Medicago truncatula: one gene and its partners. The main gene of each other region encodes a partner of the protein of the gene in region 3 in a complex. Links are inferred from orthologs where the notes say so. Each region holds a gene or a part of one and is shown on either strand. Other genes may lie near its edges. The genes, in order: mediator of RNA polymerase II transcription subunit 19a, mediator of RNA polymerase II transcription subunit 17, mediator of RNA polymerase II transcription subunit 14 and mediator of RNA polymerase II transcription subunit 18.

Region 1 (7,511 bases), on a different chromosome or scaffold from region 3:
CTTAATCTGAAGAATATAGATGCAGCGAACTAAATTTCTTCAACCTTTTCATGATGTTTCTTTGAGTGATCAGCACTGGAATCACGATGCCCGCTTTTGTCTTTCTTTTTGTCCTTGTCTTTGTCTTTGCTTCTGTCCTTGTGACGATGTTTGTGCTTCTTATGCTCCCTGTCCTTGTCCTTATCCCTGTCTTTGTGCTTCTTATGCTTCTTCTCTTTGTCTTTCTCACTTTTTGATTTTCCTGCAATTGTTGGTATTCCTTTCTCCGCCTATTAGGGAAAATACAAGGAACAATCAAGATACAAGTCCACAAAGAACACATCATCAAACTTTGTTAACAAAAACTAAGATAGCATGCTGAATGATTTCAGCAAGAATTAAAAACTAAGTATGATCAAAATCACTAAAAATTTCTTACAGCAGGCAAATCGATGGGAGCTGTTTCCCTTAGTTGGAAAGACTCCTTGAGTATATCCAAGTCGAAAGGCTGTATCCGAGCACTTGTCTCTCTTGAGAAAGATGTATTCTGAATGAGTTCATCCAATTGCATGCCATCTCCTTTTCTTACTTCTGTGTCTCCTACTACACTGTGCAGGTAGTGTGTGTCCGCGATTGACACAGGAAGCGGCCTCTTGCAGAAAAATTCATAGTGCGGTATTAATTTGAAATGACTTATGAGATCCACAGCACCTGTCAACTCCCTCGGTCCTGAGGATTCAAAAACACAGAATGTCAAAAAACACAGTTTTTCTTTGATGAGTAAGTGACTTACTGTAAGTATTAGCTAAATATAAAATATACACAAGAAAACTTTAAAAAGGGATAATTGCACGGAAATCTTCAAAAGATGCTAATAGAATTTAATGTTTTCCATTCAATTCCCAAAAAATGAACGGGTGATAATTGACAAAGTTTCAAATCTGCCAAAAGGGCAAATAAACAACTAAAATCACGAATAAATAATTAAAAATTTAACCCAGTATTGTCAATTAGATAACAAGCACAGTCAGTGCCATAAACATATGAAATCCGGACTTGTATATACAATAATACAAAACAGAGACATCAAATAAAGATTTTATAGAATTAGGTATACAACATAAAGCACTATCATAAAGCACTATCATAAAAAACTTTTACCTCCTCCAAACTTTTTTCCTTCAGGATCCATGATTCAATCTTTCATGGTTCAATCTTCCACAGAACCTGATTAAAGCTGTCGGTTATTGGAACGAAAAGAATGTTTACAAAATTATTAGGGAATACATAATGAAACAGATGATACCATATAAAAATCATCATTTGTCACATGAAAACCAACAAAATTATATAAATCATTCTTTCTCAAGCTACCCTCTTAAATTACGGTAAAGAAGGCTTCTAAGCCATTTCAAAAAGACATTTAACATGTGCCACAAACCCCAAAACTTAAACAAACTAACTGGAAAAAAGTATTTCTATACCCGCAACCATTGTTGTACAGCTAAAAGCTTTGAAGGAGACTATCAATATTTTAAGAAGCCCTAGCATTCAAGCAAAACGCCATCTAAGACCAACTAGGAAAAACAAGTGTTCCCAGTAAGGCCAACAGAAAATATTAATCCATGCCTAAAGCTAATAATCTGCAAACAGAAAATGAACCATAGAATTCATTCACATCGTTTTCTTTTTCCATATTTCAAGAAATTGAAATATCCAAAAAACCATAGACCATAAAAATCATTCTAGACCAATGAAGCACTGAAACAAACGTGCACACCAGACACAACAGTGACACATCAGCACCGGTAATAATTTGAAAATTAAATTAATTGAATGTAATCACATGTGTCGGTGTTGCATGTCCCATGTCGGACACGCCTTTGATCAAAAGTGTTGGTGCTTCAGAATTCTAGACAATCCCAAATAGCACATGGAATCATCACCCAAATAATACAGTTGATAACTTAAATTCATACAGTTACAAGCCTACACACTAGCATAACAAAAACACGTTCAGCTTGTGTAAGCATAGATAGACTAAAAACATCAAACTACACATGACCAGCACCAATTTATATCAAGAGAAGCATTCAGTTTCACATGGATACAACGGCTCCTTTAGATGATCTAAATTGTAATTACTTTTCATTCAGTTTCATATAGTCAATAGGGAAGACATGAACTTGATTGGTTCAGTTTTGAAAAGAAAAGGGGTGGAACCAAGGGGGAAAAAACAGCACAATCATGTGTTATAGTTATAAAGTGCTTATTTCAGAAATTTTCATGGTTTCAACCATCAATTGTTTCTCATCCTGTTTCAATTTCCACCTTTGAAGATTGTTAAATATTCAAATCCAACGTTCAAAAAAATTTAACAGCTTTTCAAAAAGTGGTTTTCAACAAAAAAAATCTAAGTCTCAAAACATAGACCACAAAAAACCACAAAATCTTCATCACATTAATAACGCAATTAACAAAACATGCTTACGCCCTAAAAAAAATCAACTTCAAAAACAATCAAAACAGTGAAGAAAACCCCACCTGTAGAGTGAATAATTCTCAATTCCCACAAAAACCACCAAATCTTCTTCAAATTGGCACAAACACAAACCTCCAGCAATTGCAAAACTTCAACCACCCCAACAAAAATTTCTTCGAAAGCTGCACAAAATTGAAACCTTTCATCAAAATAAGCCAAAATCATCAACAGGGTAGTCAAGAATAACAATAAAAAAGTAACTTTTTTATGTATTCATTGAAAATTCGGTAATTGACCCATGAAAGAGATAGTGTGTAAAAGAATGAAACCTGCAAAATTGCAGATCCAAACAGTGAAAGAAGAAGAAAGGGATTAAAGGGTTCTCACAAAAACAAATAAAGGAAAGATCTTTGTTGAGGTTTCAGTGTTGGAACAATCTTTGTGTTTGTTCCTTCGGTAGTACTCGTGATTGTGTTGTGTTCTTTCTCTCTGTTTTTTTTCTCTCTCAGTCTTATGAATGAAAAAGAGCAAAAACCCAAAATTCTTTTATGTTCCTAGTTGCCACCTCTTATATATATTTAGCTTCCATTTTCTACAATTTTTCAATTTTACCCTTTTGATATTGCTATGCTATTGGATCAAGTGTCAACTTACCCCTAATGGGTAACGGTGGACTATTTTTTCATGTAAGATTTTTACTTCTAGAGAAAGAAAGACATTGGAAATTGGAGTATAAAGGTGCATTTGATTGGTTAAAAAATAGTAAAAAAATGGGATAGAATAATTTCAGTTGTATTACGTTTGATTGTTTTAGCGATTAGACAAATTGGTAGGCAAGCGAAAATTTTGTCATCACTAAACCATAATAGAATTTCTTTTTGTCTCAAGCACAAGTTGTTTAGCCTCCATTTTTTGTCATATCAATTGCCCGTGGTTTATGAATGAGGTAAAATACTTCAAATATATCGTGTAAATTGCTATGGACAATTTATTTCTATTTTTGAAGATAAAATTAAACTGGTTTAGTATAAGCTATAAGTTATTCTTACAAGCTATTTTGGAGAACTTGTGAAAATAAATCGAAAACGACTTATGAACATGTCATAAGTTATTTTCATAAGTTTTCACAAACAGCGTCACAAGTGTATAGACCGGTGCATAACTCAAATAAACTAATTCAAGCATGTTCAGTCTTTTTAACTCCTCTAAAGTGTAGAAAAAAAAATAGCATCTAAAGTGAGCAACTTCATTTAACATTTAACATGTATTACTAAATCAAATGTAGATATTATACACATCTCATATTTATTGAAATAACAACACCTAATTTTATCACATTGTACTCTACTTATTCTACTAGAGGAGTCAAATCTATTATCAAAGTAATAGTAGCAGTGACCATGTTGAAGTGGTACATAACCAAGTAAGATAGAATTGTGTCACTAATTCAAGCTTCAAAACACATTGAGAAAAATGTTATGGATAACTTAAATCCGTAGTATAATAAAATATTATAACGTGATCATTTGCACACAGTAAGGTGTTAAAAAAATTGTTAACTCGTATATAATAGTACAAGAATGATGTCCAAGGTTCAAATCTTAAAAACTAACATAACTACTAACTTATTAACATTTGTATATCTTAAATAAGGAGCGTTGGTAATCCAAAATAAAAAAATAAGGTAGGTTATGTAATTTTTATCTTGTATTAAATTTTCACAAACTTTTTTCTACAAGATTATGTTCAAAATCAAATTGATGAAAAAATACAAGAGTCGCAAAGCAATACTAAAGAGAGTAGCACAATTAAATCAACATTAATTGATACCATTTTGCATTCATCTAATCAAATCTAAATTAAATCAATATGATCAATAATGAATCAATTTTGATATTAATCATTAGATTCATTATTTTTCATATCTTGCTCACAAAATCAACATTCCTTGAAACTAGATATCATGGTCATCACCTATTGTTATCATAAATCAAGAGTCGATTTTCGAGAAATGGAGCTCACCATAATTTGTCAACGTTGATGAGATTTTATTCTGGTTTTCTTCATATCTATCAACATCAAGAATCTTGTTGCCATTGAACTATGAGATAAACCAATAGCGTGGATGACGTATGAGGCGGTAACACAGTGTGTAACGACTATCACATTTGATTTAGCATTTATTCATCTCAAACCCTAAAAATGCTTGTCGTTAAGACAGACAGTACAATGGATAAATGTTTTTTCTTGAGTACATTTTCATTGAAAACTTCTTCAAAACAAAGATATGGTCTCTTTGGTGTTCGCCGCCGTGAGGCAAACGAAGAATAAAACGCCGAATTGAAATCTTCGGTTTTGGTGTCTTAGATCGAATTAGGGCAAGAAAGTCAAAATGTGTTTGATTACTAGTTGCATCATGACATATCCGCATTGTATAGTCATTTGGGCAAAACACTTGTTCTAAACAAATATGAATATTATATTAACTATATAATAGTCGCATTTTAGTATATCTAAAATGAAATTGGATTGGGCCAATGCTATATCTTTTTGGGCCTTTTTTAGATGATGTGTTGTTGGTATGTTAGAAGAAATAATGCTCATTTAAGTGTGTACTGAATCTCAAACTAATTTCATTGCAATCAACAATGATTAGAGGAGTGAAGTTTTTTTTTTTTTAGATAAACAGATATAAAAATGTGTTGCGCTAAATTAAAGGTTATTAATATGTCTTGAGATATATCAATATTAGCATCATACACACTTTAAATTCAAAACATGAACCAATTCATTATATGTATTGTGTACTCCACAATCAATTCTTCCTCCGGGATAAAAGATACATAAAAAAAGTATATCTTATCACTTTGCTTATATTTCATTTCAAAAATAGTATATCTTATCTTAATTTTAATGTATATATTATATATATAATGTTATTATAAATAAAGTTAGTTAAGGTTTCAAGTTTATTTTCCCATCAAAATACACATGTGATTGAAAATTCTATTGTTTAAAATTTCATATATTATTTGATTTGACATTATTTGAAATTGTGATGAAAAATAAATAGTCTATCCATCGCTTAAGTTATGCTAAAGCTTTCCTACGATTGAATGTGCTTTTGTAAATTCATATGTTAGAATAGCAAATAAATATTTACTATTAATTATGGACTGTGAGGTGGTAGAAAATAAATGTGTAAAATGGGAAAAAGAAATTTTTATTAAAAACTTAAGCCCAAACTTGGATCTATGTGATTTACTTCTTATTAGTTGACTAAGTCAACCCCCTTTCCTTCCTTTTAGCAGAACCACTCATACACATTTCTTTAATTCCGTCTTTCGCTGAGCTCCTTAAAGAAAATAGAAGAACTAAAAGAAGAAAATAAGGAGAAAAAGGATGCATAGAAGAAGTCCATGAGATGGAGGAGGAGAGTAGGAAGTAGTGCATGCAAATTTAAGAGGAAATAAAGGAGAAGAATGGAAGATAGAGATGAAACCTAAATCATTTCCTCACCACAACATGGTTCAAGAGCACTAAAAATATTTATTTTTAGGGTAGTGTTAACTTGTGCCTTTAAGGCACATGTTAAGAAATCCAAAAGAAGAAACTTTCTCTATGATTTTGTGCATTTAAATGATTAAAAAGTTAAATATTAAATGCAATACACACAATCCAATATGTTTTTTTATATATTTGAATCATTAACTTGTGCCTTGAGGGCACAAGTTAACATTTCCCTTATTTTTATCATGGTTATGGGTTCATAAAGATAGAGAAGAAAGTGAAATCAAGTTGGAGTTCGAAGAAGGAGATGAAGTTATAACTTATAAGAAATATTTATCCCTTTTCTAAGAATAAAATGTAATATAGGAATTCCCCACAAAACCTCTATCAGGAATTATCTAGGATCTTTGATTTATACATGTCATTAAAAGTTTGTGTTTTAGGTTGGGTGTTTTCTCAACCTTAGGCATTTGTGTATTTTGTATGCATCTAGGAAAAGTTATGTGTACTTTATATATCCCCTCTTCAAATATGTAGATGAGTTCTAGAAATGAAACTCCCTTTAATTAAAATTACATGTTGAGTTTTATAATGGATGATGTATTAATATAAGGTTTGGGTAGGTAACCTAGACTTTTAGCTTGTAATCTCAACGTGTAGAGTTTAAATTCCTTAAGAAATGGTTGTATATTGACTATCAATGATACTTTATTAATAAAAAAAAAAATCCTTTTACCTAATTTATGAAGGAAAAAAAGGTATTGTAAAAAGATGGAATTCTTGATATTTGTTAATCAATTGAGTATTATATAAGAAATATAGATGTTAAATTTGATTAAATGTATTTTCATATTAAGATCAGGGTTTTAAGTGTTTGAGTATTGTTATAGGCCTACTAGAGGACCAAAGTACTCAATGTAATGCAGAAAAATCGTGTTTTTAGCAGGTCTGATTGAGGGAGCTAGGTGTTGCATTGTGGGAGATAGGCACCTTAAAATTGAGAGCATACACTTACATGGACACCAAGCTTCTTAGAACACCTTTTTCATATTTTTTTCACCTCATTTTTAGTGGTTTTTCTAACAGTACTTGTTAGTTATATGATTATATTAGTATGTTTTAACTTAAAGTATGTTGATTTATGTCAATTCATGAACTTTTAAGGATATGTAATCATTAATACCAATAATATCATCATATACTTGTTAGACAAACTTATGACTTAAGTGTATCACATGAATGGATAACATAATACAAGACATAATGAGGTATAAATGATTTCTCCTAAAAATGAAGGGAACTCTCCTTTTAAAGAATGGACATGTGTAAGGGCAGAATATTGGGATGGTGCTTGTGGTGTAAGGACATACATAGGACATGAGTTACAATTTCATGGATTACTTGCATATGAGGGATTGACAATAAACATTGCAATGTTAGAGTAAGATAATCGTGGTTTATCCGGTAATAGAAGGAACTCTTCTTCTAAAAAGGGAACATATGTAAAGGCGGAGATAATGAAATACCTCTTATGGTCAAA
Region 2 (7,556 bases), on a different chromosome or scaffold from region 3:
CAGTTACTGCATCGTTGGTTTCCACCTAAGCAGAATAATTTCAACAAAACAACATACCTTTATTGTCGGTCTGCACATATCATGCAATATAATGAACTGGGCCATAGGAAAAAAAATCTTGAAAAATATCTAAAGCATGGTTTCTACTCATAATGCCAAAAACTTGGTCATTTGCAAATAGATTCATCAAGACTATATGAAGTGATACATTTCTTGATGAACCCGGAACTGCTACTTCTCAAAGCATTGTAAGTTGACATTCATAGACATTTTCTCAACACTTAATTTCATCCCTGGATGAATGACACAAACATAATTTTCTTAAGCCACACACTGTTTCTTTTCTTTTAGAGCAAGTTCCAAATGGAGCTTTTATAAAAGATAAAATAAAAATGGAGCTTTTTTACAGACCTTTTTCAGAAACCAAATAACTTCAAGCAATTATCTTCATTGTTGCAAACAGATATGCAGAGAGAAATTTGAACTTGACATGAAGATTTCTGAATGTAGATGAAATCATAAAAAGCGGTGATTCATTGTAGAAAGAAACATGTGCGACTCACAGTGTTGATGAAATCTATGATAACAGAGAGCTCCTGATGAGCCAACTGCAAATTCTCCACCATGCCCTGCCATTGCCATGGTGTTGTCTCCTTTGAGCTCTTCTTCTGCTTCTTCTTTTCCTCGTCCTTCTCAATGGCCCAAGCGAAGTCAATTCTCCTGATTAGAGAAACTCGCTTTTCATCGTAATCCACATCTCTGCAACAATACGGAGGGAGTTACAAAAAGCCAAGCACAAATAGAAATTAGGGTTCAACATTCTTATGAGAGATAGCATAACTCTAGGATTTTTCCCCGAGCGTTGCACAGGTTCTCAATACTAGTTGAGAAATAAAAAGGAGGAGAGGAAGAAGCTTACAAAGGGAATCGTTCATTTCCATTTTCTTCAATGGAATCCAAGCGCTTGATCGGCAGCTTGTCAAGGGATAGTTGCAACTCCATGCCCTCTTCCATCTTTTGGAAAAGTTTGTTTGCCCGAAAAAATTCCACAAAACCTTCCGTGCCCGCAAGAAAATGTGGGTGAGACCAGACAGTAGCTTTAAGTCCAAGCCTAAGTGAATAATAAAATAGTTCAAAAACTTATAATCAAACAATAGAAATAATTAGAAAAGTAAATCTTTACAGAGTTTGAAAACAAGAATTTTATTTACTTTTTAACATGTTTATGCAATCAATAGATAATTACACTTACAAGCATTTAAAATAAAATAAAAATTTAGGGTAAATTAGCCACCAAATTATCCGTTGAATATATAATTTGAATATTTTCTTACAGGTAATAAAATATTTGACAACCTGTTAGCAATTAACCAGTGAATATGTTATAATCAATCAGCATGCAAATGCACGTACAAGTTTAAATCCAGTGAATCAATTTTTAATGCCTATTAACACTTGACAATGGCGACCAGTCATGCAAGAAGAGAACAACGCTAGCAATTGATTAAAATAAAATCCAAAGAAAGACAATGGTTTCCGCAAACAGCATTTTCACATCACAGAAAACTGGAATCAGAGTAAACACACCAGTCCAACCATCCACAAAGGATTGCCACACCAAGCACCAAGTACCACTGACATCAAAGTATTTATAAATTTCCAAAACATAGATCAGTCTCCATACCAAGCATTAACAAAAATTAGCCTCGGGTGCAAATAAAATGGTTAAGCAATTCAAAATGAAATTCAGCACTTTTGTCAAATACTTAAGGAGTAACCAAAACAGCAGGTACTCCTAAAATTAGAATAAGATAAGTATTCACATATTTCAAGCAGTTTATACAAATGGAAAATATCACAAAGGAGTGAAATTGGAAGATATAAAGTTGGTTTGGTGGTTGAGGTGGGGGAATTAAGCAGTGAAGAATCATTAAGTTGGGTTTATAAGGTTGACTTGGTGGTAGGGGTGTGTATGTTAAGGAGTGGAATGAAAAGGAGGTCGAGACTTCGATCCCTACCCCAAACAGGGGTGGAGGGTAGTGTCTCTTTGAAGATAAGGTGATAGTTCAGGGACAAAATTGATGGTTTATTATTTGTTTGTTCTAATACGTTCTATTTTTTCTTTTACCCCCCCTTTTAAAATTGTAGTTTTTCCACAGTTGCTTACTGACACTACTATAATAAAATCGTTTGATTACAACAAAAGGATTGCAGCGGTTCTTGCACAACTGCCGCTGCTTATTGTTTGCAGCGGTTAACACGACTGTTTTACTTAACCACCGCAAAGTTACAACGATGGACTGTGCCGCAAAATACTGCAAAATGTCCCGCCGCAATATAAAAGCAGATTTGGCTCCCCCAAATAAGTCAATTTGTGAAAAATTAGAACAAACAAGAAGGGCAAAAAATGACAAGTTTAATGGAAGTGCATCAACTGTGTAAAATAGTTTACACCGTCATCCAATAAATGCCCATCATCTTGCCATGTAAACATAGATTATAACTCTAGTTGAATAAATTAGATGCAATGTGATGGAATCATGAACACAAACTGATAATTCAAGCACTTCAGAAGACTATAGGTTGTGTGAGTATTTGTGTCAAACATTTGGTGGGCAAACAAATAAAGAATAAAAGTACTTGAATTGATGAGCAATGATAAGAATTTGTGGTAACAAACTAGAAACCCAGAAAACAAAAACCAATAAAACACACATAATGGTGAACAAGAAAACGAATCAACTGTGGGAATCATAGAAGAAATCGAAGCAGAGAGAAAGGCACACATACCTTGGAGAGCTGTGAGTGAGACGAGATGTGTGCGTTTCGTAACAATGGAAGTTAAGGATTTAGTGTAATTGTTTAGTATGCAACGAGATAATTGAAATCAAACATGTCACTGAAACCCGCTGCTTTTCAATTTCAGGGTCTTCGCTATTGCAACGAGGGAAGAAAGAAGAAACCCAGAACTTGAGAATTTAGACGACAAATTATTATTTTTTTAGGTAAAATATGTTTCTTTTTTTTTCAACTATCAATATATTAGTTTTTCGTTTTAATTTATTTAAAAATTCCCTTTCACTTTTAGCACCTTGAAAATTTTTCATCACTTGTTTTGATCCATACTTTTAAATCAACTAATATGTAGTTTTTATATTTTTGAATGAAATTATGCAAAAATGTCTACTATAATATTATAATAACAATCACCTCAAAAAAATTAGAATTTTTTAATAAAATATTAATTAAATATGAATTTTTAAGTGTTCAAAATATTAAAATTTATATTTCATTCATGTTTTATTAAAAATCTATTTAGTTTGGAGAGATTATTATAATATTATACTTCAGTAACGTAAAATTTCATTAAAAATATGAAGTCTACATATGAGTTAACTTAAAAAGAGAGATTAAAAGTGGTGAACTAGTGATGAAAAACTTTTGGTGTACTAAAAGTTGAAGAAATTTTTTAGAGGAGCCAAAAAGAAAATTTGATATATTTATAGTTGAAAAAACATATTTAACCCTTATTTTATTTTTTTGATATAAAAGAAGGCCAAAGATGCCCTAATGGTTAATCCTAGTAAAAATGTATCACCAACTAAGAAGATCTTCAAGACTTCAACTCATCTCAAGATGAGTAAATTCATACTCTCTCCGTCCCCTTTTAACTGAGTATTTTGTTCATTTCACACATATTAAGAAAAAGTGTATAAGTGAAAGATAGAGAAATAGTTTTGAGTGTCTTGTTAAGTATCGGTGCATTCCTTCTTATCATAAACGCAAAGTAGAATATATTGAATTGAGAGTGATTAAAGTAGTATTAATTTGAATTATAATTGGAAAAAAGTAATTATTGTTGTACCGAAAAGTGAAATGGGTCAATTTTTTTTGGGGCAATATTTTTATGCAAATGGCTTAGTTATTATGGGACGGAGGGAGTATTCTTTAAATTGAGATCAAAGTTTGCAGGTCGACGATGTACATAATACTTTCTCTTGCAAATATGGTTGAATTTGACGTGTCAATCCATTTTCACTAACACTCGAAGACTAAGGTTGGCAATGTGTGATCGTCAGTAATCTCATGTGTAATAGTAATCTCATGTGTAATTCAATTAATTATGACTTTGTGATCATCCGTAATCTAATGTATAATTATGTCAATTATAACTTTAAAGTCCCTCTACACCACAAGGTTTATGACTCTATCACCCCAAATTATCTCAATTTCATGCCACAATGCTCGCCAAATGGGAGAAGGATCTTCTCCATTTATTTTAACAAATGGAGAGAGATGCACACAAAAGGTTGATAGTGGATCCTACAACCATAATATTAAGAAAAACCATAATATTAATTTTTTTGAATTGTAGCGTAAAATTAAATTATTTTTTTCTTCCCTTTGATCGTACTCCATTCAGCGTGTGTTTGGTTGTGCGGTGGAAAAAATTGATTTTGATAGAATTGATTTTGGTTAAAAGTGAGTTGAACGTAAAGTAATTTATGTTTGGTTACCTTCAAAACAGAAGTGCTTTGTATGAAAAATGTTGTTTGGATGTTTTGTGTCAGAATTGCTTTTAGATGTGTAAAAGATCAAAATGGGCTTTAACATGTGTCTGTGTATATAGTTATAAAATTTGACATTTGTTTAGTTTTTTCATCTATTTTTTTTTTTATTAAATTGACAATAAAATTATAAGCTTAACATAAATTTATTTTTTTAGGGAAAGATTAACATAACTTGTTAATCAGACAGTATCCAAATAAAAATACATGCAGGGAATATACGTTAAACATGAAGTACTCAATTAAAATTACAAATAGAAAATATAATATAAAGTGTGGTACAAGTTTGAAACATTAATACAATACTAATTATTTTTCCTGAACTCTATAATTTGATCTCGAACATGATTCATCTCAGATGAAGAAGCTATATTTAAATTTTGAGATAAATCCAAATTAACTGATCTACGATAATCATCGTGATCAAGGGTTATGTCTTCATCCTCATATCGATTGAAATCAACATCCATATCAGCATTCCTTCTAATAAAGTTGTGTATGACAATCAGAAATCATGGAATTGCATCTCAATAGATATTGTTTTTAAGTGTAGAAACACAATGAGTGTCTTAGTAGGCCACCTATCCGGTCGTGATTGTGTCCTTGATTTCTGGGTTTGGAGCTGCTGTAGCAACTGCGCTTTTGGTGTTGTATCAGAGGGATGACAGCATAATTTTTTGCTATGGTTCTGTTTCTGTTTGGGGCGCTGATGCATCAGCTTTCAGCCTGGGTGCTTGCTTGTTTGCTTTGGGTGGTTGTGATATTTTTTTGGGGTATGCATGCGGTCCCTTTGCAATGTAAATAAGTGCAACCCACATGTTAGAACAATAAGAAATCATAATGTCACACAATCTACTGTCACAAGAAACATGCTTTGAATGTCACACAATCTACAGTCATAAGAAACATGCTTTGAAACATAAACACTCAGTCTAATGCATTCAATGAGTCCTAAGTAAGAGGTGGTAAAAACTGCTTTGAAAAAACCAGTAAAACTGAACCAAAAGGGTGGTAAGAACTGAACAAGAAAACCAGCAAATCAGAGCCAAAATACCAGTTAAAATTGAACCAAAAAATAGAGCTTATACATAACCAGTTAAAACTGAAATAGAGCTTATGGAGGATGGGTGAACAACATAAGTGAACAAAAAATACAAGCATAATTATCACACAACATAAGCCTTCATTAAGGTATAGAAACATTACATAAGTTACTAGTACTTCATAATAGTACTTCATAGTTACTAGCACTTCTTAGATTACTTCCTAATTAAAAGGCAAAACATAACAGTACTTGATAGTTACTAGTACTTCCTAGATTACTTCTTAATTTAAAGATAATGGAACATTACAACATTAAAGACTAAATAATATAACAGTGCTTCATAGTTACTAGTACTTCCTAGATTACTTCTTAATTCATAGTACTTTCTAGCTTACTTCCTAGTCACACAGGTTCCAAGTTACATATTCATGAATGGCAATGGGTTATCAACTGCATGCTTAAGTCAATTCAACCTTTTCTCCTCTGAACCTCGTAGGGAAATAAAAATCTCCCTTGCAGGCTTAAACATCATCAATTGACAACACTGAGTGATGACATGCTGTCATTACGTAATTTTTAGGATTTATTTTGACAATTTTGTTAGAGTTCTGTGCAATATGGAGTATTCAAGGGTGTTAAAAGCAAAGATTTTAGAAGAACTGAAAGCAACAAATCGTGTCACGATTTTCACTACCGTGATGCGATTTTTGACCAGAGAGGCATGTTTTCGAACTGCTGAAATCGTGGTACGATTTTGAGCAGCGCGCTACGATTTTAAGGAAGGATCTGGAAGGAATTTAGGGTTTTGAAGAAATCGTGGTGCGATTTTGCCAACCGTAACGCGATTTTGCGCGCATCCAGATTTGCCTATTTAAGCTGAAGTCAGTTCCAAACATAAGGGTGACGATTTTGGAGAGCTAAAGTACGATTTTAACACCCAGAAGACTGCATAAGGGGCGATTTCATCATCTCTAATCCAGTTTATGTATGTTTTAATTCTTCCATTGATTATGCTATTTGTAAACTCAATTATGAGTAGCTAAATCTCTTAAAGATTAGGTCTGAGATGAATCCTTGTAACCCTAATTGATCCATGTTGCTGTGAAACTCTATTTATTATTAATGACAATCTAGTTTTTATTCAATTTAATTGTTCTTAATGCTTTTTATATTATGATCAAATATAAACATGATTTAGTGAGAACGAATGACTACTGACCATAACTTTCGATTTAGACCTAATTGAATTGTTCTAATAAACATGGTTAATCTAGGAATGGATAATCGTTTGTTAGTGATATTAGGTTAACGTTTTTAAAACATTCAAAGATTATTAGTCCACCTAAGGAATTAGGGGCTGTAGTTTGAGAAGAGGGTCCTAACTCAAGGGATTGATTAGAGCTATTTTGTTAACTATCGTTGAATTAGAGAATCATTAATACAAATAGGTGCAGTATACCAATTAGGGGAACATCGATGATTCAAAAGACCTAATCTCATCTCTCTTTTATTCTTAAAACCAATCTTTATTTTCTGTTATTACTTATGCAAACAACCCAATCAACTGCCTAGTGGCAAACTAAAAGAACATTTATACATCCTAATTTACAACGTAATTGAATTATTGAGATTAAAATCAGTCCTTGTGGGAACGATATTTTTACTACTTCGATACTTTTGGTACACTTGCCAAAAATCTATCACTGAGCATGCATATAAAGATCATTTGAGACTTCAACAATGGTGTCAACACTTTAAAATATATGTGCAGCGAAATATTTTGCTTCTTGTACATACGCTCTTATCACTGTTGTATATATGTGTAGTTTATTACCTTTGGATTGGAAGTGCTTGTTACTTTTATCAACACAAACATCATTTAAGGAAAAATTTACCAAAAACTAAACAATATTTCTTCATTCATTCATTTTATCAAACACATC
Region 3 (6,884 bases):
TTTATGCACGAACATGCTTTGAGTTTTTTGATGCACAAGTTAAAAATATATATTGCATTATTCTTTATTTCATGTGCATAATTTGGATTAGGATACATACTTCATCACTATTTGGAAAACAACTAAATTCAATCCTAACCAGTTTGGATGGTATTATAAGAGTTGCACCAAATGTTCGAAGACATCAATGTCAAATGGTGCTAGCTATAGATGCACATGCGGGAGTGATGCTTAATTTCCATTTGTTTCAACAATGTTAATTGGTCAACGGGGTTCATATAATGCACATACATGTATTTATCTAGACTTTATAGGAAGATAATAGGAAGATAAATTAGAAGTCATGATACATTTTCTTTAGCTTAAATCAGTTAAGCTACCTTTATTTTATAAATTATATGTAACTATATTCGCATGCAGAGAAAGTATAAGTGTCGTCTCATTACCGCCGAAAGAGCAAGCTATGAAAAATACTTGGGTGGGCTATGGATCAATTTCTGCAGAGAACGTGTGATGATAGAAGGTGGTAAGCTCATATTTGGTCTCGAAAAGTCACCGAAGAACTTGCACGTTCGAGTTGTTCTAAAGTAGATATTTGCTGCTGAACTATTTGAACTTCTACTATTTTGACGTATCGCTTTGGACTGTAATCGTAAACTATTTTGACTTTGGGATGTCATTTGTTCTTTTCATTTTGTCTGATGTAAATATTGGCAAAAATCTCTTTTTAGTTAGTCTTTGACACTTGGAGTCTCTTTTATAAACCTAACTATTATGTAACGTTAATCTGCACATTATTGGTTCCTTCATTGGTTCAAATTAGTATCATGTTAATTATAATGTTGTTTTCCTAATCTTTTGAACAAAATAGAACATGCCCTTTTTCTACAGCAGATCTTTATAATGCTTTGGAACCAACCCATACATATTTTATGATGAATTATAATGTTCCGTCGTTTTAACATATCTTCTTTCGATTTTTTTTTTTTTTTTTATCAAAAACGTTATTGAACCCGTGCGAAGCACGGGTTTGTAACTAGTTTAATAAAAAAATTCTAATGGAATTAAAAAATTGGAAAAAAAATAAAAAAGCCAAGTCAACATGCCAAATATTCAATTTTATACAGTCAGCGTCCCATGTCAGCTTATGTGCACAGTCAGATTGGTTCAGGGGTGCAAACCAAAAAATCTTCATTTTACAAGGAAGAATCTCCAAGTTTTTTTTTATAGGGGAGTATACCAAAAGACCCCCATATAACAGGGGGGTAAAAGCCTATTAATCTTTTTATTTTTTTATTTTTATCAAAGCACAAAAGATCAATACACCGAGAGGGAGCTTGTACCCTTTATAAAACAAGATTACATAAATGTTTTTCTCGGGAAAGGCAAATGAATGCTATCTCTCCGGAGAAAAGCAGCAAGAAAAGGAGAATAATTACTCCAATATTGAGAAGAAAAAAACAAGGGCAAGCTTTGACCATTTTTGGTCAACGCATCCGCTGTCAAGTTTCTCTCCCTTGAATATGAGTACAAGATGAATTAATCATTCTAGTCATAACCATGCAATTACTCCAACGGATCCTCAAAGGCCAAAGTACAACAAAATTGGAGTTGAAAGCATTAACCAACATCAAATAGTCGGTGTTAATCCACATGTTTGCCAACTACAAAAACTCATTGATCGGTCATCTTGACACAATTATTGAGAAAACAAGTTATCACATAATCGAGATAGGTTCTAAATAAAGTTGAAAATCACAAATATGTTTAATTGAAACAAATAATGATGTCTGGATTACAAGATTATTGTTCAACAAGGAATAAACGTCATTTTGGGGATCATCCAAGTCAACAAATTTAAATGTATTGTTCAAGATGCCGATTCAAATATTCTCATCATCGAGAAGGAAACCATAAGATTTGAATTGACGAGTTTAACGACAATAAGGAAAGATTTGACATTGTTTAATAATTGTCTAGCACGCTTGGTGTTGACCTCAAATTTGTTGTGTAACAAGTAAAAAGTGGTGAATCTAATACATTGAAGAGGAGTAAACTCAAGGAAAAAGTTTCATAGTAATTTTAGAAAAATATATATAAAAAGAAGGTTTCCAAAATCGTAAAAGTAACCTTATTTAAGGAATGATATTAAAAAGGAATGTCTAAATTTGAAAATAAACATATAAATAAGAGGAGTTTGGATCCTATCTTATAAATGAAGATTGCAATTTGGTAAGAGATATAAACAAAACATAAATTGTAGGTTCTACCAACAAGTGGGTTCCATTATCATTAATTATTTACAAATTTTATTGTGTCTTTATATCTTCAAATGGAATAAATGGATGAGATCCAAAATAGAGAGATCTTAACTCAAACGAAAGGACAAAAAGACATAATCGAGCAATATATATATAACGCATTGTTGTCTTCTTTCAATCATACAAATGTCGCGTCAGTACCAATTTGTCCCCACTATATTGAACTATGAATCCCCCAAATGTTTTATTCCTCTCGACCAACCTTTGTAGTTTGATCTTTCTTTTCAAAAAATATTTTGAATAATCTAAGAAAATTAAAATATTGCTTTTAATAACTCATGAAAATCATTAATTTTTGACTATAACGGTCAAAATACATGCAAATGAAGACTTTCTTGCAAAATTAGATGACTTCTTGCAAAATTAGATGACTTCTTTCAATCATACAAATGTCGCGTTAGTACCAATTTGTCCCCACTATCTTGAACTATGAATCCCCCGAATGTTTTATTCCTCTTGATGTAGTTTGATTTTTCTTTTCAAAAAATATTTTGAATAGTCTAAAAAAATTATAATATTGCTTTTAATAATAACTCATGAAAATCATTAATTTTGATTATAATAGTCAAAATACTTGCAAAACTAGGTGACTTCTTCTTCTAGTTGGTTGTTTGCTTGATAATGTCATTAGAAAAACAAGTCAAAAAGTTGGATTTGGTTCTTAATAAAGACGAAGATCATAAGGAGTTAATATGTTGAATTGAAAGAAACAATATTACTTAGATTCCACGATTCACGTTTAGCATTGAAAAAACACTGACTCAGGTAATTAAATTCATTGTTCTGGATGCTAATTATCACATACTTACCATCGAAAAGGAAACCTTATTATCGAATCGATGAGTTGGACAACAACAATGTTTGACAAAGGCTGTCAAGGGTTTGATGACAACCTTAAAGCCAAACTTAACAAATTAAAAATGACAAATCTTAGAGAAACAAATATTATTAAACTCATATAGTAAAAATCTTCACCAATAAAAAAATAATACAAAAACTGCAATAAACTATAAAATTAACCTTATCTCTTCTAGTAATATCCCTCTAACACGTGATCACGTGGAAGCCACCGTTGTAATCAAAGAACTAAAAAGATAAGTAAACTCGTATAGAAAAATGAAATTAAAAACTTATAAAAACGTTAATATTTACCTTATTTATCTTACTTACAACATTTGTATAAAATGTGATCACCATATAACCAATAATTAATTATTCTTTAACGCCATTGCAAGGCCGAAATTGCAAGGCCGGACGTCATGACCCGGGTTCGAACCCGGGATCTCACAGTTGTGTGTGAGTTTATTTTCAGTGGATTACCACTTCATCTAAGACCAAAAAAAAAATAAAATTATTCTTTAACGCATTTTAAAAAAATAAAATAAAATTCTTTAACACATGTTCCATAAAAAAGTTGCACCAAATAACATTAGCTATCAACATCAAAATCTAAAATCTAAAACACATTGAGAAGAAAAAAAAAAAGGTGTAAGAAAATCCAAGTATTTGTTCAAATAAAGTAATATATAAAAGGAGAGAGAAACATGAGAGAGCACCGTGAGACACAAGCCCAGAGATAGAGTGAGAAAGCGAGAGAGAGAGAGAGAGAAGAGAGAGAGTGCGGAATCACGAAAGAGCGCGTTCTTCTTCTTCTTCTTCGTCTTTCCTTTGCTCCTAATTGACAACGGTTCAAAAATTAACCGTTGTCTTTTTGACCTAAAACCCTAATTTGATTTCGATGCATTAACAGATCAAGAAGAACCCTAGAATTGAACAATCGAAATCAATGGCTACGGCGGAGTTAGGGCAACAGACGGTGGAGTTATCCACCCTCGTTACTCGTGCCGCTCAAGATTCATACAATTCGCTTAAAGAGCTTGTTGATAAATGCAGGTCCACCGAATTATCCGATTCCGATAAGAAGATTAGCATGCTCAAATTTCTTACCAAGACTCAGCAACGTATGATCCGTCTCAATGTCCTCTCCAAATGGTGCCAACAGGTCAATTTTTTCATCTCATTTCTATTTTTAATCCCAATGTTATTGAATTTCATCTTTGTTATTGTTTATTGTGTTACTAATTGTTATGTAATGTGTGTGTGTTATGTTATGAATTTATGTATGATATGATGATTGTGTTGGTGGGCTCTTACGAGTCCTGATCTTCTTTTAATAATATTTGTTATTAAAAATTAAAAATAAAATTGTGTTGGTCATGTATGATATGATTATGATAATGATAACATTTAGTGTTAGAGTAAGAGAAAGAGAGTTTGTATATGCGATGATTTGCTAATAATTTGTGGCTTTTCAGGTTCCTTTGATACAGCACTGTCAGCAACTGTCTTCAACTGTTTCGAATCACGACATGTGTTTTACTCAGGCTGCGGATTCGTTGTTTTTCATGCACGAGGGGCTTCAGCAAGCTCGGGCTCCGGTTTATGATGTTCCATCCGCCATTGAAATTCTTCTCACGGGGAGTTACGAGCGTTTGCCAAAGTGTATTGAAGATGTTGGTTCTCAGTATGCTTTGACCGAAGATAAGCAAAAGCCTGCTTTGAAGAAGCTGGACATGCTTGTTCGGTCCAAATTGCTTGAAGTTTCTCTTCCCAAAGAAATTTCTGATATAAAAGTTTCCGATGGCACTGCAATGGTTAGGGTGAATGGAGAGTTTCAGGTTTTATTGACACTTGGGTACCGAGGACACATGTCCTTGTGGAGAATATTGCATTTGGAGCTGCTTGTCGGTGAAAAAAATAAAACTGTGAAACTGGAAGAACTACGGCGACATGTGCTTGGAGATGATCTAGAGAGACGAATGGCAGCGGCCGAAAACCCATTTTCAATATTGTACACAGTTCTTCACGAGCTGTGTGTTGCACTTGTCATGGACACAGTAATAAGGCAAGTGCAATTCCTTCGACAGGGAAGATGGAAAGATGCAATTCGGTTTGAGCTCATATCTGATGGTGGCTCTGGTCATGGGGCAAGTTCAAGTTCTGTGCAGAATCCTGACGGGGAATCTGATTCGTCTGGTCTACGAACTCCGGGGTTAAAAATTATTTACTGGTTAGATTTTGACAAAAATGCTGGTGTGTCTGATTCAGGTGCTTGTCCATTTATAAAAATTGAACCTGGACCAGACCTTCAGATAAAGTGCACCCACAGTATCTTTGTCATAGATCCGTTAGCTGGCAAGGAGGCAGAGTTTTTCTTAGACCAGAATTGTATTGATGTAGAGAGGCTGCTATTAAGAGCTATTTGTTGCAATAGATATACTCGGCTATTAGAAATTAAAACAGAACTGATAAAAAATGTTCAGGTCTTTAGAACAGCAGATGACGTTGTGCTCCAGTCTCATATGGGTGAACCTGATATTGAATATAAGCAGGTTAGATTTATTGAAGAAATTTTAAAGTGGTAATTTGCATTGGGCTTTCTGTTAAACGACTCTTTTGAGGGGTTTTTAATGTCCTTGTTTGTTGTCACAGTTTTAGAGGTTTTACTTCACATTCTTTTCGTTTCATAGAACTCTACTAGAGTTCTAATTCTGAAAGTTCTGATCATTGTTATTTTCTTTCTTGTTTAGCATTATAGCATACTAGCGTTGCAATTACTTTGCTTCATAATTGCTCATGCAGGAAATGTTTGTAGTTTTGTAAACTGTGAATCTGGTATCTTGTATCTGCATTACCAGCCAATGGTTTGGGGTTTACTTTGTTGATATGCACGTGTTTTTCAGTGCAATACTGTTAACCACTTGACCAATAATCTATGCCATGCTAACTGCTGTTGCAATTTTATGTTTTCATTTATGGCACCTTATGGATTTTCTGTGGGTAATCTTATGCATACCTTTATTTAATCTTGATGGGTTTTAAAATTAAGATATGTTCTGTCTGTAGAAGGATAATAAGAGATGCGATAAGGATTCTGAGGGGAACGAGGTACTGCACGTGCGTGCTTATGGCTCTTCTTTTTTTACTCTTGGAATTAGTATCAGGTACCTTATTTCACTCACTTGTTTTTTTTTCCCTAATCTCTTGCATTTTAATCTAGGCATTTTCAAACCAATTTCCCTGTTTTTTATTCAGGAATGGCCGATTCCTTCTTCAATCATCACAAAATATAGTTGTTTCTTCTGCCTTGTTAGAATGTGAAGAAGCTTTAAATCAGGGATCTATTACTGCAGCTGAAGTCTTCCTAAGCTTGAGAAGCAAAAGTATGTTGCACTTATTTGCATCTATTGGAAGGGTTTTGGGCCTTGAGGTACATTTTCTTGTTACTCTCTCCATTTGTGTTTCAAAGAAAAATCTCTAAATCAGTTTGGACTGTCTTTTAGCTTACTTTTATTCAGATCACCAGCTTCCCTAAGATTTATGGATTATGGGCCACCCTTGCAGGTTTATGAGCATGGATTGAACACAGTCAAAACACCCAAAACCTTGTCGAATGGTTCAACTGTGCTGATGATGGGATTTCCAGACTGTGGAAGCTCTTACTTCCTGCTTATGCAACTTGATAAAAATTTTAAACCCTTGTTTAAGTTGTTAGAGACTGAA
Region 4 (8,000 bases), on a different chromosome or scaffold from region 3:
TACATGCTCTCTGCCTTAGCTCGCTATGGCGAGTAAGGTTGCTCGCGGTGGCGAGCTGCGTTGTGCAACTCGCGAGGCAAGGGAAAAGGGTTCGCGAGGCGAGCGATGAATGTTCATCACTCGCGAAGCGAGATTCATAGCTCACCGTGGCGAGCGATGAATGTCGCTACGGCCAGACTTCCTATTTTCACAAAAATTCAACGATTCACAAGGTTTTAAGCCTAATATTGATTCCAAAGTTCGTCCTAAACATTATCTAAGGTCTAGAAGCACTTTCCACATCAATTTAACCAATTCCTACCGTTTGATCATCAATTCTAGGGATTTGACCTAGTTTTCGTTTTCTCCAATTCAATCCTAAAACTTGCTAACTAATCATCAGAATTACAATCAATTAACATTACTGAGTTATTAGTCTCACCCTTACCTGGTTATGAAGAAATCGCAGCTCTCTCTTTGATCTTCTCCCTTCTAAGCTTTTTCTCCCTTTTCCAAAAGTTTTCACGTACAATAGTTTTTCTAACAATTAGGTCTTCCCCTATTTATATCTCTTCCTAATAACTTATTTTATTTCACTTTCTCCCCCAAAACTATCTAAAATATCAAAACAGCCCTCAACTAAATATTTTTATTTTCTTATCAAATCTTATTTTATTTAACAATAAAATTAGTCTCATAATCTTATCAAATCATCAAAACACGTCAAATCTTTCAAATCAACTTAACTCTTCTAAATTCAACAAAACTCACATATATATTATAAAAATATAATATAATGGCATAAACTCGATTAAATAATTAATTAAATGAAAGTGGGCGTTACACTCTCCGTTCCACTAAAATGATGAGTAACTTTACAAAAGAGATATCAAAAGGTTACAAGAATTAGTCTTCAAACCTAATTCTACCCAAAGTCCCAAATCTCTTCCTGTGACCAAGAGACTTTATCCTAATAGTGTTTCTCCACGGTGAATCAACGGTGATTTAATCCCAGCCCAAGTGTTTGTTGCCAAGACAAACTCTAGTTTTGTTGATCTAATATCTCTCTCTCTCTCTCTCTCTCATCTAATACAAGGTAGGTTTATATTTATAGAGAAATATAACTCATAAATTTAGAACGGATATCACGCTGAAGATACGTTTCTTTTTTTCTCCTTCAGCACAAAATATATTTGCATCAAATATCCCCTTTAAAAATATATTTGCATCAAATCTTCCTTCATACGGTACAAAAATATATTTATTGCCCATAAATATATTTTCAGCAACAAGTTTTTGGAAGCACAAAATATATTTGAAACAAATCTTTATATTTTTAGCAACAATATTATTCATCCATCAAATTTTAAGTCAATTTCAACATGTACTAAATCATGATCGATGGGATCTTTTGAGCCTAAACATCATCCATTGCCTGTTATTTTCTTTCTGGTGAAGTGTATTCATCCATGTGTTCATTTCTTGAGCTCGGCTTCATTCTCTACTAGCTTATTGGTTATACATACACATTGAGACAATTTTATTTGTACCTAGAGCCTTTTCAAGCCACCATGTATAATCTTAATTATTTTTTGATAAACCACCTTCTACATTCACATGTATCCTTTCTTTTTGTGACAAACTGCATTACAAGACGAATATACCTAATGCTTTTTATTATATTTACCTTTTATGGACTTATGTAGAAGCGTTAAATTACTTATCATGGTTGGTTTTAAGTTTGGGGTTGCTTCTCAAGATAGAAACATTCTAAGTTGGGGTGCGGTAACAAAAATCTAAGAGACGCTCATCTAAATAAGTCTCTTCAAAAACAAAAGTGATTGAAAAATGAAGGGAAATAGCCATTATCTCTAAAAAAAAAAAATGCTGTATTCATAAATTATTAAAAACTTATATTTGTACCAAATTTGAAAGGCATGCTTGCTTGGTTACTTTTAGTATTTTTGCATAGAAGGATAAGTAGTGGATATGTAACTCCAACTTTAACCTACTTTCCCAAATTGTCTTCAAGTTGTATATCCAAGTGGCATGTGAATGTTGACGGGGTGATTAACTTTTTTCAATGATTGAGTGGATCAGTGAGGTTTAGAAAAAACCTGTCTTAGGGTGATTTCTTTGGACCTACTAAATTGAATTATGGAGAACCGGATGGGTAAAGATTCAAGGAGATTTGTTATTTTATTGTAGATTTTTGATGCACGGGTATGTTACTTGAGGATAAGCAATACTTCTAGTGTGGGGTTGTGAAGCCAGACTCTCATACCATGCTCTTAGGGTCCTTTAGAAGTCATTTTACGGTCATTTGTAAGTTTGTTTTAGTACGATTAGCAAGAAGTAAATAAAGTAGCATTGTACTAAATATATGTAAAAAAGATCTTGAAATCTGCTCAAATTCACCCCAACCAGACAACTCCTCGGTCATGCTATGATTTTTACAAGAGCAATCAAGTTGTCTATTTGGAGTATAGCCATCACAGACGTTAAAATGAAGAGAAACGGGGAAAAGAGTAAAAGAATATGAGTAAGGCGTGCTAATCTCCACATGACCTCGGAGCGGTAGTTTAATCATATCTAGACTTGTAATTCTAAGAATGGAGCGATACCAATGGCATATAAAAGCTAACATTCATATCTACATCTTTCATGAAGTCGCCAAAGTTCAATTCAGCTTACAAATTGGTAAAAAAAATGCAATTTTCATATGGATAGGATCAGTATTGCAGGCCCAAAATGTGCAGATACTACCTCGTGCGTGATGCACAGAATGCAATATTGTGCGCATTTACATACATTTTTTTGAAAAAGTGGAATTTGCGAATTCTATGAAAGGGCCACGCCCGTAACAGAGCCAAAATCTCATTTTCTATGCGGGGGAGGTTATGGAAACAACTTGGAAACAAGATTTCATCAACCACTTCATCATCTATTGTAATTTCTTAATCTAGTTGTCATGTCTCTTTTAATTATGAGTAGCTAGAATTCTTTGATTTTGTCATATAGATGCACTTCTTCCTAGCTATATAAACCATGTAATCCAGTTTATCACTTTTTTATGCAATTGAATTCATAGTATTTTTCAGTTATTACTTATTCTTAATGCATGTGTTGGATGACTATTAATCCTAACTTTTGATACATGGTATAGGATAATTGTTCAATATGTAATATCATTAGATGTATTCTAGTATTGCATTTGTGATATTTGTTTTGACGTACAATCAAGCCTTTAATGATCACGAATTTGCCTAGGACATTATGGGGTTGTGATCATAGAAGAGGGTTATAAACGAAATTGGTCATAGCTATTTAGTTAAAACTTCGTAATATTAAAGAATCAATTGAGGTAATTTAGGCATGGTACCAAATACAAAAGACTGGAATAAAAAAACCTAAAAGAAGGTTTGACTTTTGACAATGGTGTCAAGATTTTTGAATTTTCTGTCTTTTATTTCTATTCTCTTATCAAAAAATGTATTTGATATTGCTTTTTGCATAGGCTTCTGGGCTCTTATTTGGGTTGTAAGCCCTTTTTATTCAATTTTCATTTTTAAATATTCAACTAAAAGATATAAAAAAAAAACAATTATTTTGTTTAGTCGTTGTGTTATAGTCCTTTAAATACCTCGAAAATTTTAAATACATCTACAAATATTTTGGTTGTTTGTAATTTTATGAACTAAATTATCAATAAAAATTGAGGATAAAAATGGCTAAATATAAACATAGATGATGATATGTTTGCAATTTCGATATATTAGGAGACTATGAAGCTTTAATAACTAGATCTCACACATTGAGATACCAAACATCCGTTTACCAACATATTTTTTTACTTAATGAATGATTATGTATGCTATAACTAGTCTGATTCACTGCGAGTTACAACTGTTCAATCATAGACTCAACCAAGTCGAACTGGATTTCACAGAGTTCCGTGCATATTCGATCATTTGAGCTAATCGACCCTCACACCTGATTCCAAGTTCAAGTTTTAAAACATTGGTTATAGAGATGACCCAAACGGTGATTTTTTTTTTTGTTAACTCAAAAAGGGACCTTGGTAATTCAAAGTTCCACCGAAGCATGTCCAATAATTGTTCCATCTAAAATCGAACTTAGGCATGTCCAATAATTGTTCCATCCATAAATTGAACTCAATAATTAATCAAATTCAGGTTTTCGTTTGTTGAACAATTCATCTTTGGTGGAGTTTTTTTTCTTTTTCTGACAAAAATCAAACGATATTCATTCATTTAAATTGATATGTTACATCATTCAACATCGCTAAAAACATAAATTGATAAATCTACCAACAAACTCACAACATTCAAATTAACAACATACAACACCAAAATATTTACAAATAATATGATAAGATTAAAGTGACTTAAATATTCATATCTCCACATCTGCAACACACGTCCAAATCATTAATTAAATATGTGATGTTTCAATAGGAATCAAATGAGTACGGCAACAAAATCAAAAATCAAACAACGCCACACAAAACGACGTTATTAACCATTTGAAAAAAAAAACTAAATTTAAATAAAAAATCCCTTATTTAGATTAAGAAAAAGATGAAGAAAATTTTATTAATCATTTCAAGTAAATGTAATATATATCCGAGTCTTGTTAACAAATCTCTCAAGACACTCTTTAAGGAACTCAAATTAAGAAAATATTTCTCAAAAAAATCAAATATTACAAATTTTAATGCATTGATTACACATATTTTTATAAAAACTTTTTTCTGAAAGAATATTTTTATAAAAACTTATTATTAAAGTTGCTTAAAGAAGTCCCGTGAGCATAGCTCAGTTGGTAGGACAATGCATTGTTATATGCAGGGGACGGGGGTTCGAACCTAGACACCCCCCACTTATTCACTTTATAAGGTAAATTCTAGCCACTACACTACCTAAAAAAAAAATTTGCTTAAAGAATGCAATGACACTCGGTAACCTTTCTTATATTTATCTTGTCAAAAAAAACATTTCTTATATTTATATTATTAAATAAGAAAATTCCCATGGTTGTATAGATTGTAAAAGAATTTCTTTTGACACCTCGCTCGCTATCCGCCGCACCCTCATCCTCTCCGGAACTTCTGTTCGTCTTTTGAGCTTGACTACATTCAGGTTCGTATTCCTTAAATTTGTTCATTGTTTCAAATTATTACCCCATTTTCGTATTTCAATGTTTTATTTCAGTCAAATTCATAGCTAGAATTCAAAACCGAATTTCCCTTTCTCTTTCTTAGTGGAATATTTTTTATGAATGAAGCTGTATTATTTTTGTGGGGTGTATCTTATATGGCTGAATTTGAATTAACACAGAGAATTAATTTGAACTTTTACACTGATTTTTTTCACGGTCTCTTTTAATCAATGTAATCTTTGTTTTATTAGTGACATTGATAATTTATTATTTTACAAGTGACAGATCCCGTAAACTCATTGTCTTAAGGTTTTGGGTAAAAATGTGGTGTCTCTATCACTAGTGTGGTCCTGCTACCCTCGTGACCTAACACAAAGTGACAACGAGACGGTGATTTGTGAATTAAACTCGACTTTGGAGGAACCCGTGATCCTATAGATATAGAAAAAAAAATGTTAAAATGAATAATTGCTTGTTTAATTATGTTATATTCATTTTAAGAGGATAACACACACGACTTAGCGTCTCAGCACAGAGTAGCGGTTGTTGAGGCTGCATTCATCATCTCTCGTTTGCGCCTTTTGCCGCGTGCAATCCACTTTTTACTACTAAAACCCTAAAATAGAGCTGCTATTAGCTTATATGGGCTTTTGCTCGAGACAATAAAAAACCTTACCTCCCTTTTTCACCGTCGTAGTCTGCTGGTCATCTTGCACCATATTTTTGCTCTTGTAAGATGATGTTTTTGAAGAAGAAGAATAAGAAGGGGAAAGATGGGACTGAAGAATTGAAGAAATAGACTCGTAGAAGAAGAAGAAACAGTGGCAGTGTGTCTTTTGAGTTGCTGCTGTTACATATAAATTTGAAGGTTACATAGCTGCAGTCATGAACCTCAACTAAAATGCTGACCTTTTGCTGTTTTTATCTTTGTTGAGAGTTGGATGACAATTGTACACTTAAATGCTGTCAAGTGCCCTTTTGTTCATTTACTTGATTTACGAATCATTCTGTTCAGTTATCTTTTTTAGACTCTAGTTCATCAAATAATTTACGCAGTCATGCTGTTGTAAACTAGTTCTGATTATTGAAAACAAAACAGCTTCCCAAGTTAGTTTTTACTGTAGCAGAACTAATTCTTAAGTTATTAAAGGCCATTTATTGCCTGGATCTGATAGTCGGTTAAACATTTTTTCAATTCTTTTTCAAAACAGTTCAATATCAGTCCAAGCAACTGCTTCAGGAATTGTCCGCAAGATAAGAACCATTTTTTCAGTTGATTTCAGTGTTATCAATTGCGGATTGCGAAAAATAGCAGTTTGTTCAGTTCCGCTAAGCTCCAGTGCAATAGACGCTATTTGATTACATTTTTTATTTAATAGTGTATTGTGGAACAACTGCAATTTGTCCAAATTCTGTTATGCTATAACACTAAACACTGCTATTTGTCAACACTGGTTGATGTCAGAAGCAACCAATTTGGTATGGCTGAACTGTATTTTCGGATCAGATCAAGAAAAAGGATTAATATTAATACTCGTGAAAATGTTATAATATTAGTGATGGTCTAAATTGGAGTAAGAATTAAGTAGCTTAATTTCTATTTCGGTTATATATATATTGGTTTGTTCTGTTGCAATTGCAAATTTTAAATTATACAATGTAATTAATTCCAAAATATCTATTGTCTAATGCAGTTGAAGAAGCAGATATGGAATGCGTGGTTCAGGGAATTATAGAGACACAGGTGAGTGAGTTTGTATCTTCATTGAAGTTTCAATTATTATTAATACTGTTATTTAAGAATAGAGGTTGTTATGGAAAATTTGATTTGGCTTGACCTTTATGTTTGCCTTCTGCTGTTAGAATTTTTGGATTCTGCTTGTGTTGGTTACACTGATCAGAAGATTCCGTAATTCTCTATCATATGCTAAGTTCAAAGATAGATTGTTTACTTCTAAATATCTTTTAATTATTGTACTATCTTACATCATGCTTCATATTACAGCTATAATATCTCAGTCTAGTCACTTTTTTTGCAATGCTGATAATGTTTATTTGAATTCTACCCATGAAATGTAGTTTTAAGGTTCTAGTAATTCAAATGCTTTCGGAACTATGGCCAAATATTGAGTGGCTACCTGACTAGTTTCTCATAATTTAAGTCACTTTTCTTTATGGTTTGTTATTTGTGTTCTCCCAACACTGGGGGTGTTGGTTGCTCTAATATTGAAATTCACTTCTGAAATAAAAAGCAGAACCGTTTTTCGAAATTTTCTTTTATAATTAATTATTTAAAGTGTCATACCAAAGGATCCTGTAAAATCATGTTGCTTGGCTGATGTCCCAACTTGTAATATGCATCTTCAAAGTTTGATTTTCTTTGCTTGCCTACGAAGTGGATTTTGTTTCTCATTTAAAAAAATGGGGTGTCACGATGAAACAGTAAAATATATGTTAAAAATCCCACAAACATTGTATTGACATTACATTATGTTATGAAACATGGAAGGCCAGTGTGTGGCCAAGTTTTGATTGATGGATGTATTCAGGAATGATGTGTGTATCTCTGCAAGTGATATCCTTGATCCTTGCAAAAGGTTAGTTGTAGCACTAACTCGCTTTCGGGTGTTTTAAAACATGAGGAAAATGGATAGAAGCAAACTTCTTTTATCCTTAACCTTACACTATGATTTCTATCAATAATTAAAGATTCATCACAAGTCTCACATTTTAAATACCTTGTGTCCATCAAAAAAATATTGCAGAGATAGAGAGATGTCAACTATATTATCCAAGTAGGGAGGACAAGATGCTGGTATGCTTTGGGGGTGATATGTGAC

What was found.
Region 1: mediator of RNA polymerase II transcription subunit 14 (region 3) and mediator of RNA polymerase II transcription subunit 19a share a complex: the UniProt entries of both Arabidopsis thaliana proteins name them as parts of the mediator complex. The link is inferred for Medicago truncatula from reciprocal best matches to the Arabidopsis thaliana genes SWP and MED19A.
Region 2: mediator of RNA polymerase II transcription subunit 14 (region 3) and mediator of RNA polymerase II transcription subunit 17 share a complex: the UniProt entries of both Arabidopsis thaliana proteins name them as parts of the mediator complex. The link is inferred for Medicago truncatula from reciprocal best matches to the Arabidopsis thaliana genes SWP and AT5G20170.
Region 4: mediator of RNA polymerase II transcription subunit 14 (region 3) and mediator of RNA polymerase II transcription subunit 18 share a complex: the UniProt entries of both Arabidopsis thaliana proteins name them as parts of the mediator complex. The link is inferred for Medicago truncatula from reciprocal best matches to the Arabidopsis thaliana genes SWP and AT2G22370.

The regions. Positions count from the first base shown.
Region 1 is NC_053049.1:10,410,923-10,418,433, forward strand, and holds the start of mediator of RNA polymerase II transcription subunit 19a, read right to left. Parts: upstream 3,009-7,511; 5' UTR 2,849-3,008; exon of another isoform or gene 2,791-2,848; intron 2,644-2,790; 5' UTR 2,524-2,643; intron 1,217-2,523; 5' UTR 1,172-1,216; coding exon 1,141-1,171; intron 709-1,140; coding exon 419-708; intron 270-418; coding exon 45-269; intron 1-44. UniProt on the Arabidopsis thaliana protein: Component of the Mediator complex, a coactivator involved in the regulated transcription of nearly all RNA polymerase II-dependent genes.
Region 2 is NC_053045.1:55,066,149-55,073,704, reverse strand, and holds the start of mediator of RNA polymerase II transcription subunit 17, read right to left. Parts: upstream 3,001-7,556; 5' UTR 2,791-3,000; intron 1,116-2,790; 5' UTR 1,015-1,115; coding exon 920-1,014; intron 760-919; coding exon 564-759; intron 26-563; coding exon 1-25. UniProt on the Arabidopsis thaliana protein: Component of the Mediator complex, a coactivator involved in the regulated transcription of nearly all RNA polymerase II-dependent genes.
Region 3 is NC_053048.1:54,600,899-54,607,782, reverse strand, and holds the start of mediator of RNA polymerase II transcription subunit 14, read left to right. Parts: upstream 1-3,869; 5' UTR 3,870-4,107; coding exon 4,108-4,323; intron 4,324-4,636; coding exon 4,637-5,713; intron 5,714-6,227; coding exon 6,228-6,325; intron 6,326-6,416; coding exon 6,417-6,591; intron 6,592-6,725; coding exon 6,726-6,884. UniProt on the Arabidopsis thaliana protein: Component of the Mediator complex, a coactivator involved in the regulated transcription of nearly all RNA polymerase II-dependent genes.
Region 4 is NC_053043.1:15,752,732-15,760,731, reverse strand, and holds the start of mediator of RNA polymerase II transcription subunit 18, read left to right. Parts: upstream 1-4,995; 5' UTR 4,996-5,141; intron 5,142-6,854; 5' UTR 6,855-6,868; coding exon 6,869-6,904; intron 6,905-8,000. UniProt on the Arabidopsis thaliana protein: Component of the Mediator complex, a coactivator involved in the regulated transcription of nearly all RNA polymerase II-dependent genes.